2 linked regions of the Oreochromis niloticus genome follow. The protein of the gene in region 1 purifies or fractionates together with the protein of each later gene. This does not show direct contact. Links are inferred from orthologs where the notes say so. Each region holds a gene or a part of one and is shown on either strand. Other genes may lie near its edges.

What was found. Proteins that work in one complex are often made in the same cells at the same time.
Region 2: the proteins of ocrl (region 1) and pheta1 purify together in Homo sapiens (co-immunoprecipitation; 5 studies listed by BioGRID and IntAct, counting the BioPlex papers as one, with this or other methods). This does not show direct contact. The link is inferred for Oreochromis niloticus from reciprocal best matches to the Homo sapiens genes OCRL and PHETA1.

What each region holds. Positions count from the first base shown.
Region 1 is NC_031966.2:18,622,752-18,630,312, reverse strand, and holds the start of ocrl (inositol polyphosphate 5-phosphatase OCRL), read right to left. Parts: upstream 3,353-7,561; 5' UTR 2,971-3,352; coding exon 2,929-2,970; intron 2,413-2,928; coding exon 2,333-2,412; intron 1-2,332. Other genes in the region: si:ch73-335m24.2 (protein eva-1 homolog C), read right to left, coding at 5,889-6,274, 7,470-7,550. UniProt on the Homo sapiens protein: Catalyzes the hydrolysis of the 5-position phosphate of phosphatidylinositol 4,5-bisphosphate (PtdIns(4,5)P2) and phosphatidylinositol-3,4,5-bisphosphate (PtdIns(3,4,5)P3), with the greatest catalytic activity towards PtdIns(4,5)P2.
Region 2 is NC_031977.2:24,418,931-24,426,925, forward strand, and holds the start of pheta1 (sesquipedalian-1), read right to left. Parts: upstream 3,099-7,995; 5' UTR 2,959-3,098; intron 2,501-2,958; 5' UTR 2,399-2,500; intron 1-2,398. UniProt on the Homo sapiens protein: Plays a role in endocytic trafficking. Required for receptor recycling from endosomes, both to the trans-Golgi network and the plasma membrane.

The sequences.
Region 1 (7,561 bases):
AGTCTCATTACAGCCTAGGAAGCAAAGGAATTCTGGATAATCTGCAGTGAGCTGCCTGCTGGTGCAAAGAAAAGCTTAACAACCCAAGCCACAGTGACAATTTAAAATAACCCCCACTGTCACAACATAACCCGAACAAATGCTAGGGGGTGTAAAAAGTACACAAACTAAGTGTTACGCACAAGTTGTTGAGTAAACTCTAACTAGGAAGTGGTGTGGTATGTGTGGAGCAAGTTTACATCAGCTGAAGGGACTGGAACACTCAACCATATCACCACAGCCCCACAGGCAGCATCGTCCTTATAAGTGTCCTTCTGAACTCAGAGGAAGAGCTCCATAAAGTCACTAAAAACGCAGCATTCAGTCTTTTAGCTGGGCTGCATGACATCTGCCACTAAAAATTTCTGACTATGTTATGTTGCATTTGTTTCAGATTCTCTGGCAGTTTTCATTTTGCTTTTTTTTTTTTAGATTTAGCCTAGGAAACTATAAAATCTACATAGAACAAAATCCAGGAAATCTGGATAGATATTATACAGTGAAAACATAGAAACAGAAACATACTGAGGCACTCTCTCAGGTAAAATCAAATCATGAACCATGAGAAAGCCTGAGATAGGAATTCCCCTACTTTTAAGTAAGTAAGTCTTATCTTATCTTTTACCTGAAGACAGATAGTAATTTTTTATGATTACCTTTACCACATAAAATCTATCAATTATTCCTGGATTATTTTTCTTTGTACTTCTTCCTGCCCCACTGAAGAGCACTTCTCAGATCATTTGTCATAGCCATGCATCATTTTGCTTTTCTGATTGCAAGATCTATTGGTTAGATAACACCCTAAAAAGATAATCCAACTACACTCAACAGGCCCTTTGCTAGGAGCACCTTGCAAATATTTGGCTAGACCCAGTTTTGCCTTCAGAATGGCATTAATTCTTTATATATAGACTCAAAAAGATGCTGGAAAAATTTTGCTCCATATTGGCATGGTAAATGGTAAAATGGTAAATGGCCTGTATTTGTATAGCGCTTTACTAGTCCCTAAGGACCCCAAAGCGCTTTACACACCCATTCACACACTGGTGATGGCAAGCTACATTGTAGCCACAGCCACCCTGGGGCGCACTGACAGAGGCGAGGCTGCCGAACACTGGCGCCACCGGGCCCTCTTACCACCACCAGTAGGCAACGGGTGAAGTGTCTTGCCCAAGGACACAACGACCGAGACTGTCCAAGCTGGGGCTCGAACCGCCAACCTTCCGATTACCTTCCGATTACAAGGCGAACTCCCAACTCTTGAGCCAGTATCACACAGCTACTGCAGACATGGCAGCTTCACATCCATGATGCAACCCTCCTGTTCCAACAAATACCAGAGGTGCTCTATTGGATTGAGACCTGCCATTTGACTACCAGGAAACTCACGGACATGTTAAATAAACCAGTTTGAGATGATCTGAGTTTTGTGACATGGTCTGCTATCCTGCCTGAAACAGCCATTAGAAGATGGATACACTGTGTTCATAATGGGTGGCCATGGTCAGCAACAATATGCAGGAAGGCTGTGGTGTGTAAATGATGTTCAGCTCTCTGTGTTTAGAGATCCTCTTCTGCATACCTTAGTTGTAATGAGTGGATATCTGACTATGAGCTAAAAGCAGTCTGACCAGTCAGACTTCTGACAAGGCACTTTTGCCCACAGAACTACAGCTCACTGGATATTTTCTCTTTTTCAGGCCACACATTGTAAACACTAAAGATGACTGTGCTGGAAAATCCCAGTAGATTAGCAGTTTCTAAAATACTCAGACCAGCCCATCAGGCACCAACAACCACACTACAATAAAAGTCACATAAATAACCTCTTTTTCGTGTTCTGATACTCAGTTTGAACTTCAGCAGGGCTTCTTGACCATATTTACATGCCTTACTGCACTGAGTTACTGCCATCTTATTAGTACCTAACCAAGTGGCCAGTTAAACTATATAATTATCTATCATCCTGCCAAGTACTCAGTGTGACGCTATCATGGCACACACCTTTCTGACCTAACAGAGTGTATTTTGAACCATACCGATATCACAGCAATTGTGGGTCAGAGATAGGAGGAAATATAAAAGACAAACCCAGAGTAGCGCAGACACCTCAGATATGCTATAAACCACAGCTTTACGAGTTCTCACAAACTAGGTGCTGCAGTAAATGCCTAAGAGTGTTCAAATTGTTTCAACAACTCATCACCACTACTTATGATTCTCAATAGGTTTATCTACTGCTTGACAAAAATCACATTGTTTTTCAGTCATTTGGTTCATTGATACTTACATAAACTCTCCACCGCGTTCAATTAGTGACAGGAGTCTGGGCTCCTTCTGGCCAGACCTCACCTCCAGGCATTTTACAGTGTGAGCAGCACAATCAAGGAATTATTGTGACTGAGAATGAGAAACTAGTGACTGTCACCCCAGGCTTTGTAAACTGAGATTACACTACAGATACTCTGAAGGGTTAGAACAAGCCATGCCAGTTAAAAGGTGGGCAACTTAAGGTAATAAAAGAAAAGAGCAGGAGGTGGGACAAAGCACTGCAGATGCTGGGTTTGCTGGTGCCAGTGCAGGTAATACTTTTAGCTTAAGGGTGTAAAGGTGTAAGGATGGCTAACGTTATTCTGTACAAGTGATTTTAATTAGCGTTAATTGCATGACACTGGTCATATATCTGTGCGGTTAGCAATGAACTGGATTAAAAGTGAGCTGTAGCTACTTTATAACATGATTATTTAAGTGCACGGTTACTAAATATCTCCATATTACTGAATTACTAACGTTGCCTAATGGGCTTCACTAAAAGCTAACGTTAGCTAACAAGCTAAAACCCCCAAAAAAAACAAGCCCAAAAATACCAGAACTCAGAAAGGATATTGCCAAGCATTCCTCGCCGCATATCCCCAAAGAGGAATCCATTCTTACCGAGAGGAAATAAATATCAGTTTATCATTTGGGTTTATATCACTTCGGTGCGGACGTCAGGGCAGGGAAAGTTAAACCTCCACCCGGCGCTGCGGCGGCCTCCTTCCGGGAAGCTTGGCCGCTAATGCTAAACGCCAGCTGATGATGTTGTTGTTGTTGTTGCTGCTGCTGCTGCTGCTGTTCCCGGATAGTATTAAAAATATCACAGTTAGAAACTTTAAAAAGAAAGAAGAAAACCCCGGCTCTTCTCGTGTCCCCGTGAATGCCAGAGAGCAGGTTGCACAGGCTACATAGCTTTAGCTGGCAGTTTTATGATTTAGCCGCATATGCTACAGCACAGAGTTTGATATGTGGTGGACTCCCTCCTCCTGCCGCTCCTCTCCCTGCTTAAGGACTCATCATCCTGGTTTTTTGCGGCAGTTGGCTTCGAGTATGAGCTTAATAACGCCATCTTCTGCATCGGAGTGCAATACTAAGTGAGTAAGCCTCCCAGCCCTGACAAATATAAAGAAACCCCTGCGACATCGTGTGGTAAAACAATATTATCTGCATATAATTTACTTTCCAGTTTCACACATCCTCTTTGGGGGATTAAAAATGTCCGAAAGGTGTTTTGTCCCACATTAATAGGCATGAGGTGTAACTAATACAATCGCTTTTACATTTTTTTTTTTAATATTACCGCCACCAAGGAGGTTATGTGTTTTGGGGGGGTTGGCAGTGTTTTTACGCGTTTCCTTCTTTCTGTAAACACGATAGTTTTTTAAAAATTAAATTAATTCTTATCAAATTTATTGGAGTGTATTGTGTGGTCATCTAAACAATCCATTCAAATTTGACCTCCAAACTCTAAGTTAAATAGACTGATCTGCACCTCAAAGTAATATTGCTATAGAACTATTTAAAACTATATTTCTTAATGCCATTGGTTTAATTGACAACATATAGAAATATAGGGATTTTAAATATTGGACCTCATTTTCCAGTTCAAATAAGATAAAACTTATACTGTCTTTTATCTTTAAAAATTTACATAAAATTGTGTGTTGGTACTGGCAAAATTGGAAAGGATAGAAGTATATGGTGATTATAAATATCACATTACAGTTTGCATTCAAAAATCAGTCACATTTGCCCTCTGATCAGTTTTACATTTCACAACAACTGAAGGTGTGTTATATCTTTAAATAAAGTATTTTTTAAAGAGAAAGAAATGAGCTGCCTAGTTAGAATATACTACAGTATGTAGTATTATATAATAAGCTCAAGTCAAGGTTTCATCCGCTTTGACTTGTGACCCCTTCAAATTAAGCAGTCTTCATCACACGCTATGTCATGTGATAGCTGTGATAGAGCAGTTTCACTAACAGTCATTTCATTCATCTCAGACTGTGATTTTAATGATTATAATGACTTCAGCTGAACTGTCCTCACAGTTTAAACACTGATTCTTTCCTCAGTGGATGTATTTCTGAGAGCAATTGTGCAAAGACTTTGAGTATGTTTTTCCATTTCCTGGATCCAGACTTTTAAATCCCTCTACCCACTAATCAATATCTGATATCAGACTAATTTTTTCATCATAAAAACTTTTTAAAGTTCTCCAGGCTACTTGTACAATTCATGTACAATTGCATTCATGACTTCATAAATTGTGACCATCAACAACACTGAGACATTTCTCATGATGTCTCAAAAAACATCCCTTTAAAGATGGTCAGGTACAAGAGCTGGAATAAAAATAAGTGAAAAGAAAAACTTTGAAAGGCCTTCAGAAAGCCTGGAGAACAACTGCTTAGACCAAAAAAATTATAAGAACATCTAGCTCCTTGGAAGCAAAATATAAAGAAATAAAGGGTGGGTCAGGACTTTTGCACAGTGTTGTAGTTCTATCAGTTAATCAGATATAATCACTTTAATTAATTCAAAGAGGGACACAATTTAACAAAGAATCAAAATATAATTGTTAGTAGAAATTTGAAAATTATTCAATTTATATAATTATTTTTGATGATTTGGTTTTGCACTGTTCTACATTTAATTCTCCATCTTTCAGCAATAATATGAAATGTTTCCCCTGCAAAAGAGCAGCTTTATTTTTGTACGTTTTAATGAAACATTAAAAATGGAATTAACTCACCCAATGATTTATTAGTCACACACTGCACTGAAAATACTGTTTTTCCATAATGTAACTGCAAAAATGCATTGAAATTATTCAAATTAAATCAGTGGCACCGTCCACTGTTATTCCATAAAACACAGCTGCATTTGAAATTCATTGAAACAACAAACATGTGATATTAACCTTTATGATTGTAATCAACCACCATTAGGTTTTTATGCATTTTAGTAGTGTCATCATGCATTGTGACAGATTAGGAGGTTCAGTTACATTTAAAGAGAAGCTATCATCCTTTCCCCTATTTTCTGTCACATATACCTCATTACTGTGATTTGTGTTCAGATTAAACTGGTTTTAAATAATGAGGCTGTTCTAAACACTCAAATTCAGACTTTATTTTCTACTCTTGGCTTTGCCTAATGTCAAAAATTGGGGACTTCCCTAGTTCATCTCTGGCACTTAGGACCCAACCATCTAATGCTTAAGCTTTGAGTTTGTGAGGGGCACCCAAACAGAAGAAAGTTGGCTTGGAGGAAGAGGAGTTCATATGGCTCGTTTCAGGCTGTGAATGAACTAAGGACCCAGCTCAAGATAAATAAGGATTATCTTGAACTTTGAGTCATGCAAAGCTCCTCTAGAAGAGTAGAGGAATGAAAGTTTGGACCTGGAAATGAGCATAATAGGTCCATAAGTTATAGTAAAATGCATAATTTATAGTAAAAGCACCATCTCAGCATGATTTCAGTTAGCAACTATTGTTCTAAAGCAGTATACTGATACTTTACTCTCAGTTGTTGTAAGTTTTTATCTTGTGAATAGCGTAAGGGCTGGAGTCTCTGTGTGGCCAAATGTCTCCATTCGGCAGATCTCTAGATTGTTCCTCCTCCCACTCAACCATCTCTACTGTTAAAGTGGATGGACTGAAGATGTCAGTTGTCCGGTAGGATTGTGTTAGGCGGCGGAAAGGTGATGTGTCAGAGACATCATCTTCGCAGAGGTCTTCCATGAGCTCCTTGCGTTGTCTGCGAGATGCTTTCAGCTCATCATTCAGGTCAGAAACCAGATCTTTAACGTCTTTCACAAGTGTGGAGCGAACGCCAAACAGGCAGAGCAGGAACACGAGACCAGCGCAGATGCCTGAGACAAAGTAGAGAGCGACTCGTTCTGGGAGACCTGGAAGAGACATGTGTGAGGAAATTAAAAATTTGCCGGCATAAGCCACAAGTGTCCACTCAGCTCATCTTTCTCAAATTGCTTTAGAAAACACTATTAATGCAAGGTGTGACCTTTCAAAGAAACCACTAAATTCATTTCATGTGAGTAATGTATCAAAATCGATTTGCAAGTGCTCCTATTTCAGTTCAAATATCCAAATAATTTGTATCTATATTTTTTTATATTCATATTAATAATGTTCGAAACTGATTTAGCTGAAAAATCTTCCTGGGCAGTGCAGTATTGTAAAAACAAAGACACAGTATTGGCTTTGGATTAGGATCATTCCTGGAAAAACCATATATGATTATTTATGTTAGAGTACATAATGGCTAATATTTGGATTTTCCACCAGCATGTTAATGTATGATCCAAGGGGAAAAAAACATAACTGTTTTGTCTATGTCCAAGTTGAATATAACATGTCATAATAAACTGAAAGGACATAAATAGACTGAAATTAGGAAAAAATATTTTTTAAAGATAATATGCTACTAATGATATGATTTGGAAAATGGAAATAATACAGAAATATGTACGCAAATTTTAGATTACTGCAGAAAAGACAAAACCTATCAGCACAGACAAGTGGCTGGCACACTGATAAGCAGAGGCTGGCTGGAGCCTTCCTGTGTGGAATTTGCATGTCCTTGCTGTGCCTGTGTGGATTCTCTCCAGCTTCCTCCAGCAGTACAAACACATGCATGTCAGGTTAAGTGGTGAGTGAAAATTGGCTGTGGATGTGAGGTAGATGAATTGCATAAAGTGTGCAGAGTAAAAAGTAAATGTGGATTGTGGTTTAAAGTGGCCAGTAAAGAGTACATAAGTGCTATATGAATGTCAGTCCAGTATCATACCTCTCTATCTGTAACAGCTGAGATATATGTTAGCCCCTGCAACACTAGGCTAGATAAGCAATTAAGAAAATAGACAGATGGTATATAAAGGCTTCCAGTTACTCTAAATCAAATTAAAAACACTACATTTCATTTAATTCAACACCTCTTCTTATTTTTCCATGTCAGTTTGGAGCTCAGTATCTCGACTGTGTCCACCAACGTGCTTGAACACCCACACTTCACTTCGACTACAGCACTCATGAGCGATATATATGTGGCTGTAGCCTGACATCCACAGGCATCAGTACACATACCCAGTATTTTGTCAAAGATCTCCAGAGAGTTGGTTAAGAACACATTTTGAGGCCTGTAGGTGGGGCCAGTGTACCATCCACCTGCAGGCGAG
Region 2 (7,995 bases), on another chromosome or scaffold:
ACCTGTCATAACACCAACAGAGCGCTGCAGCACGCATAAATACTGCAACTCCCTGGAAGTGCAAGACAAATTGAAAGTCTAACTTGCACAGCATGGACAGATTAGTGCGTTACATGCTGTTTAATCACACGTTCAACTGTAAACTGGGGCTCAGATTACCTCCTGCTAATCCAATTTTACTCCTGTTAGGAAACAGAAGCAAGGCACTTTATTATCTTGTTTGCAGTTAATAGCTTGTTTGTATTATTGCTTTCGCTTTTGGTAATGAAGCTATTATCTGAGGACCATGAGAGTAAGCTGGAAGGGAAACTTGTATGGGAGGCAGTGGAAGTCATTGAGGAAGATGTGGTGGAAGATCGGGCTGGAAGAAGGAAAACGGTGGCACGTAGGAAGGTGGTGGAGCAGGATGTCCACCTTGGTGTATTCTCTCGAGCTGCTTGATGGTCAAGCAAGGCTCCTCCGAGTGCTCAAGATTCCTTAATTTTCTAGTCCTTGAAATTCTACAAATGTTTTTTCTTTTCTTTTTCCTTTTTAAAATTTAAACTAGATATGTACTGCCTTAGGATACAGGAGAAACCCCACGTCGATAGTTTTCCCAAAATGGGCATCAATACCCCATCAGACACATTCACCTTCGCACATGCTATAACTCATGTTTTTTATTTTCTTCCAACATCAGAATAAAAACAGGAGATACCAGTTAAAAAGCTCAGATGTATGGGCTATTCCCTGTCAGGTTCACTGAGTATGCACTAAGTTTATTATAGTTCATTAAAACTATAATAACTTAGATATGAAACAGTATTTTAGTTAACTGAGATATAAGTACTTTCCAAAGGTCTCGAGTCACCCCTCATGTCTTTATATATTTTGCAAGGACAATGGTAAACAGTTGCAGTGATTTATTGAAACATGCAAAGGTGACAGGAAATACAGCCTATACAGTGTTGAAGACATTCAGAGCTCCTCTCTGGATGTTGGCTGCCTTTTGTTGTGTTCTCTGTTAAGATCATTGTTTCAGTAATCACTAATAACTTAACGCCCACTCACATCCTGGGCCATCTGACCTCAGGAATTCACATGACAAGGTAGGGCCAGGTTTCACAATGAGCTCACCCGAAACCTTGGCTGATTAGGTCCCACACCCGCTTTCACACCTTGGCGCATGTGATTAGAGGATCACCAGGGGGTCCTTTGTCCCTCCTTGGGGGGATACTCCCACTGGGTTTAAATCTGGGACTCTCGGCCATTTGACCTTAGAACTGAAGAAGCTTCTCGGATGAGAGGTGAAACGTCTTCAAGCAACTTAAAGAAGTCCAGACGCTTTTCTTTGCAAACTCCTTTGACTACGATGACCTGGATGAATGAGAACCTTCACAGACAGTAATCACTAATAATTGCTTCCATCAGACCCGTTTCCACTGATTTTCAGTTCTTCTGTAATTTGGCATTCCTTTGCCTTTTGTGTTTCCCTTCCTTAAAAAATGGCTTCTTGACCGCCATTCTTCCACTGAGGCCATTTCTGATAAGGCTTCATGGAACAATAGACGGATCAACTGAAGAGCCAGATGCATCCCTCAGATCTTGTGTCAGATTTCTTTTCTGTTTCTTTGGAGCACTGTTCATCATTTTTAGATACTGTTCATCTGCTGTAGTTTGTTTGTTTTTTTTAAAAAAAACCCTGCCTCTTCTTCTTTTTTCCTCCTCTTGTCCAGTTACCTTATGTGCTTTAAGGACACACTGTATGCCATGCCAAGATATGCCAGGTTTTCAGGTAATAGCTCTTTTGGAATCAACCTTTTGGTGCAGGAATGTCATTTGTGTGCCTTTCAAACTGTTATCTTTGGCATTTTTCACAGATTCATTTGAGGAAATTGGAACAAATTATGTGTTTTTGCAACAGGCTGCTAGTAACAAATTTTCTCAAGATATTTAAAATTGGTTCTTTGCCAAGTTGACAGACAAGTTGTAGACAGAACACTGGTTCATCCTTTGAGTCAGGTGCCATTTTTATGCTTTAATGACTCATAGGTCAGTGTTAAGTGACCTAACATGCACTGAAAATGAGTGAAAGAGAACCAAAGAAAAACTTTGCGAGACCTTCGGAAAGGAAAAAAGAAAGAAAAAAAACTACTATAAAGTCTGGCTGCTTGGAAGGGAAAATATAAACATATGAAGGGTAGCTAAAGACTTTTGAACAGTACTGTAAACCTTTGAAGCGGAGGTGGACAACAGGATCTACCAGTTTTGGCAGTCAAGAGGTAGCAAAGTGTTTGTAACACAGATTCTTAACTTAAATCTACCCCTGACAAATAAATATGCAAGTAAGTTAAAAGTAAAACTAAGAGTTTAAAACACGGCTTACTGACCGTCCAAACAAAACCCATCCCTTACTTACGTGCTTGTCTCATATCCAGCCGACATCCACCTCCGTCCTCCCATCACATCTGGAGCTCTTAACTGGACCGTCTCCCACTTCTTCGCCCTTCTCGAGTAAATACTAAAAAAAAGACCAAAGTAACGAGTTTTATTTCACGTTTATTTTCACTCAGGAAGCCGCATAAACGACAGAATCCAAGAGGAAGCGGCCAGGTCAGCGTCCTCGCTCGTTTTAGACGTTAAGAGGATTATTAGCCACAACTTTTTCCACCGCTTCGTGTTTTTTTGGAGCGAGTGATTCAGTATGAAGGAGGGCTGACTGGTCACAAGCTTTTGACACATCAGCACTTTACAGGAATTCCTGCTGGCCTTCAATAACACAGCGACGGCAACACGAACGAGCGTGCTTGAAGACACATCTCTCAGTGCCAACTAGCTTCACGCCTTTAGCCTCTTTCGTGGAAACAAACATGCATCCAACGTCTGTGCAGCCCGCAGACTGCAGACGAGCTGTTAGAGGTGGACTCTCACAAGTTAGGACAATATTATAATAACCAGCTAAGTGTTAGTATTCATTACCTCCACGTAAACAGAAAACCTCCCTCTTCTTCCAAGCGGGTAGTCCCACAGTTTTTTTTTTGATTTTCCCTTTCTCTCTTCCTCGCCTCTTTCTTTTTTCTTCTTTTTCCCCGGTCACGTGACACTCTAACAGAGCGCGCGTTGTGCTTAACCCTGCCAGCTTGACAGGGCGGGGTGATCACTTTAGCTCTCGTGCCGTCCTGGTGAAACAGCCGTCCGGATAAGCAGTAATATAAAACAGGCGCGCCTGTCTGTGCCCTTGGAAAGGTGGCTGCTGACTGCTCCACCTGCACGGATGGAGCGTTGCTGGATATAAAGGTCTGTGCAAAAGTCTCGAGTCACCTGTCATTCCTTTATATTTAGGGTTTAAATAGAGTTTGTATTTAAAAAGAAAATGTATTGAGCAATAATTCACCAGGATTTCGGAAGGTCTTTCAAATTTCCTCTTTATGTCTTTATGCCTGACCATTTTCATAGACATTGTTTTGTTTATTGGGCCACTTAACACTGAGCTATGTATCATTCGAGCATGAAAAAGGCACCTAACTTAAGGAATTAACCAGTGTTGTGTCTACATCACAAAGAACTTGGCAAAGAACTGGTTTTAAATTGTATCTCTTTAGGCACTTTGTTACCAGCAGCCTGTTGTAAAATAGTATTTGGTACTAACAAGCTGATTCCCAAAAAACTATTAGCCTGAAACTTGGAATACCTCAGCACTTTGTGCAGTGTGGCCTTAAAAAAATGAGGAAATTGGACAAACGGAGAACAAAAGAAGATCTGGCCTATAAGTGATATCCTTAATAAACGGGAAAAAATCTAGCAACAGGATCCTGAGAGATCCCTCCAGATGATCCAGCTAATGTTTGGAAATGGTCTCAGTGGAAGGATGGCTGACATGAACCCTTTCTTAAGCAGGGAGAAAAGGCTGAGGTATGCCACATTTCACAAGAACTGGACTGAAAATCAATGGCAACAGGACTTGTGGAGTGATGAATCCAAATTTGCTTCACTAATATTGATGCAGTGATCTTGACAGACAAAAGACACCCAACATCCAAAATACTCCTTCAAGAAACCTGGTTAACTATTCCTGAAGAAATAACAAGAAAGCCTTTCTAACCGAGTTCAGGCCATGATGCACAACAAAATTGATCATATTAGATGTCAATTTTCAAGCTTGTTGAAATTTGTAGGGTTTTTTTTTCTCCCTTATTTACTGGATTTTCATGTATGCTTGCACATATTTTAATTAATCACCGCAAGTGTTTCCCATTTTCACTGCAAAACATAAAGAAATTGGCGACTTAAGACTTTTGCATGGTATTGTATTAATCTGAAACATTGTTTTAAACAGTCAGTAGCTTCTCGGGATTCATGTGGTCCAGATCTGACAAGCCTAAGAGTAGTTGTTTTTACTCTAGACATTATCTGGTCTCTTGATGTGGTTTGATGTGGACTAAATGGAAAATACGAACACCAGCCTCCCTTCTTGTGTTTTCACTCTTTCTCTGTAAATCCAATCGACTTTAACAAGTGCCTGGATAACATATTTTGTTAATCATATTTCAAGTAAAATAATCACATATTATGGAAATTACTGCCTCAGCATTCAAAATATATTTAACATTCTCCAATCAGTAGGGCTATTGGTTTCTAAATTTTTAATATTGTAACTAAATAATCATAGCTTTGTTATATATCAGTAACACATTCATTATAGTATCATAGCATCACGAGCATCTTTAGTTTGTTCTGCTTTGTGAAAATTTGCACATTTACTATAATTACAACATAAGGCACCCCGGGATTAAAGGCAAGTAGTTTTTTATTGTCATGGCCTGATTCCCATTCACTTGGGTTGCAAACAGCTGCCCAGCTCTGTTGCAGTCCTTTCATGGAGAGCCCTGCTTGAGGGCACTCCAAAAGGCAGAGTTAAAGATATCTTTTTGTCATGCACATTCTTAGCAGAGCTTTCCACTTCATGCATTTGAACTTATGATGTTCCCCGCTGTCCTCTAGGCCACCGCTGCCCCGTTCCTGTAACCCTGTCACTTTTATGGCACTGAGCTGCTGGCTGCGGTCTGTTTTTGCATGACCATGACAAGCCGCCATGAATTCATCTGAATTATTCTAATGAATACGATATTCTGAATATCTTCGGGAGACAGCTGATGGCCTTTAGCACTGCCAGCTTGCTATCTCATCACACTAATCTTCAATTAGCTGATGCAGCTGCTGATGCCATTTTCTGTCATTCTCTTTTTGAAACGTTTGCTCTCACTGCTTTTTGGTAACTTTGATGAAGTGTGATGCTCTCGGAGGCGGTTTAATTTCCTCCGTTGGGCTCCCGGTTCACAGAGGCTCAACATATCCGAGAGATAAACGCAGAAGAGGACAGCTTTTAATAGAGAATACAGACATAAAATCAGCACTAAAAATATTGTTAGGTTTAAAGTACACACACTCACACGCACACTGACCAAGTGCAAAGTGTTTACTTCTCACAAGTTATTTCCCAACAGTTTGTGGACACACAATAAAATATCACAAACAACTTTTTGAGACATTCCAATCAGCTTTAAAAGTGATTCATTGCTGAGTCAGAGTTTAGTCTTTAATTCAGTATCTGAACAAAGAGGTGAGGTTTACAAGTGTGTGATGCCTCTAATCTAAATGTATCAAGGGGGTGTGTTAATAAAAAAAAAAAAGTTGCTCACCAGCAATCATGTTTGCATGAAATACCAGTGAATGCCTCTCATCTAACCCCCCAGAAACGCTATTTTTGTGTGGAATATCTTCAGCATACTAAATGAAATCATGCAACATTTTATGTTCATACTGTGGATATTTTCCGAGTTACAGACCTGAAATGAGTACATGGAGCAGGTGGAAATTTAGTCGCCTTTTAAGTCGCCTTATTTTTTTACAGCATTTTTTTTAGACCTCCATGTACTTCTTAAGTACATGAAGTACATGAAATTCTCAGAGTGGAAAAACACATTTAACCTTAACCAAATGAATTTTACTTCCACCCACCTAGAAGAATTCACCAAACTGTAGGTACAAAGCAGACCTTTCATGCTGTTGGTTTTTACCAGTTACACACATGGTGATATCATTAAACTAGAGCCTGACTGATGTAGGACTTTTAAGATACCCGTACTTTGTGATTTAAAAAGTCTGATATATCGGCCAATATTTCTTTTCTTTCAGACACACATATTTGTTTGTAGTTATTTATTTACTCCTTTATGCCGACTCTGTTCAGAAAGGCTGTTTCTGGCATTCCAAATAAGTTGCAAAGTGCCTTCTGCAGCTTCTCTACGCAATATCAACACTCATACCATAGTTGACGGGTGTTTCTGTTACTCTACTTCACAGACGTTAAATTAGTACAATTTTGCTACCGAAACGGTGATTATATTCCATAATACTGATGCTTACAGTTGGTTTTAGAAAAAAATATGCTGAATTGGCTGTAGATGGGGACACTTGGAGTGGGTATAGAATTTATTTAATTGCAGCTTTTAACTGAGTTTAATGCCTTCTCAGTGCTGAAAAGGTAATTTGGTTATCTCCTGTGGTGAAATTGCAAGGAATGAAAAGTGAAGGAAAAAAAAAGTTTTAACCCTTCTCTACTCTGATGGCCAGTAACTAATTTTCATTGTACTAAACCTTGCATGATTTCATTTAGTATGTAAGTTATTGCATTTTTTGTTTAGCTGATTTTTTCGGATGTCAGGTGGGAACTTTGATGAGATTTGACTGATTTTCTATGTATATACTGTATATATTTGATCTATTTTAAAGCAATAGTCATCTTGTTACTCTGTTTCTTTATAACTCATTTGGTTTTTATAAGTGCTATATATAAAAGCACTTCATCATTTTTTAATTACCTATGACTCATTACCCAGAGCAACATGGAAATTTGTCAGGTTTATATTGACGTCAGGATTGACCCGATGCATGAGGGAGTTAGAGGGAATATTTCTTAACTCTGTTCTGGAGGGCAGAAAATCCAGCATTTCAGGCCCACTACCAGGCAGCCTCTCCACAGAAATGCATAGAAAAACACAGTGATGGCAGGACAAAGTGAAGAGTCAGTCATGCGTTCATTCAGTCCCATGCCTCTCTTCTGATAAAGCACAACTAGGTATTTGGTTTTCGTCACGTTTCATCTCTGCATTATATTTTCTTCCTCCCGCTGCAGCCCACATTGTAAAGTTTCTCTAAGTTATAATAGTTAAGTTTTTCATTCATGTAAACACGATTCGGTATGTATAAATAACTCATCTGGCTCTGCCCTGAAAAACATATACCTCGAGGGAATGTCAGCTTTCATCAAAATACCTCTCAGTCATCCAACACAATATCAAAAATATCATCTCTTTAAATGTTAAAGTCTCTGTAGAAAAATGCCTGAAATATACATGTATATTTGTATACAAACAAAATTTGATGCAAATTATTACTTCTTCAATAACCCTTTAAAGCTGTAACTATGCCAAACTGTACTGAATCTCTGCATGTCATTGTGAAATAAACACAGCTTGCATGGCACCAGATGAGCGGATAGATTTTGATGTACAACGAACATAATGTCTGGACAAGGATCAGTGACCGCATCATCAACCATTTCAAAACACGAGTCTTTCCAAAAACATGCTGTGGTTGTGCATATGGCACGTACTGACATAGTTATTATTTTCTCCTTATCTGCAGTCCAGCAGAGAGCGTTTCGCTCCCAGGCAGAACTGTTGGGCTCTCCAGACACAAACAATTACAATTCTTAAAAGGCAAATTCCATCGGTTGAGTGGAGCTATTGATTTCCATCTGAGTACGCACAAAGCAAAAACCTGTACAGACATCAATCAAATACTGGCTGACATTATTTCACTCCATCTTGTACTGGTTCATCTTTACTTTTGATGATAAGGTTTCATCGGTGTTTGAATCTTTAAATCAACCATTTATATGAATGAAAATATCACCTCCACATCTATAGATTCATCTTTTTGCACACAAACACA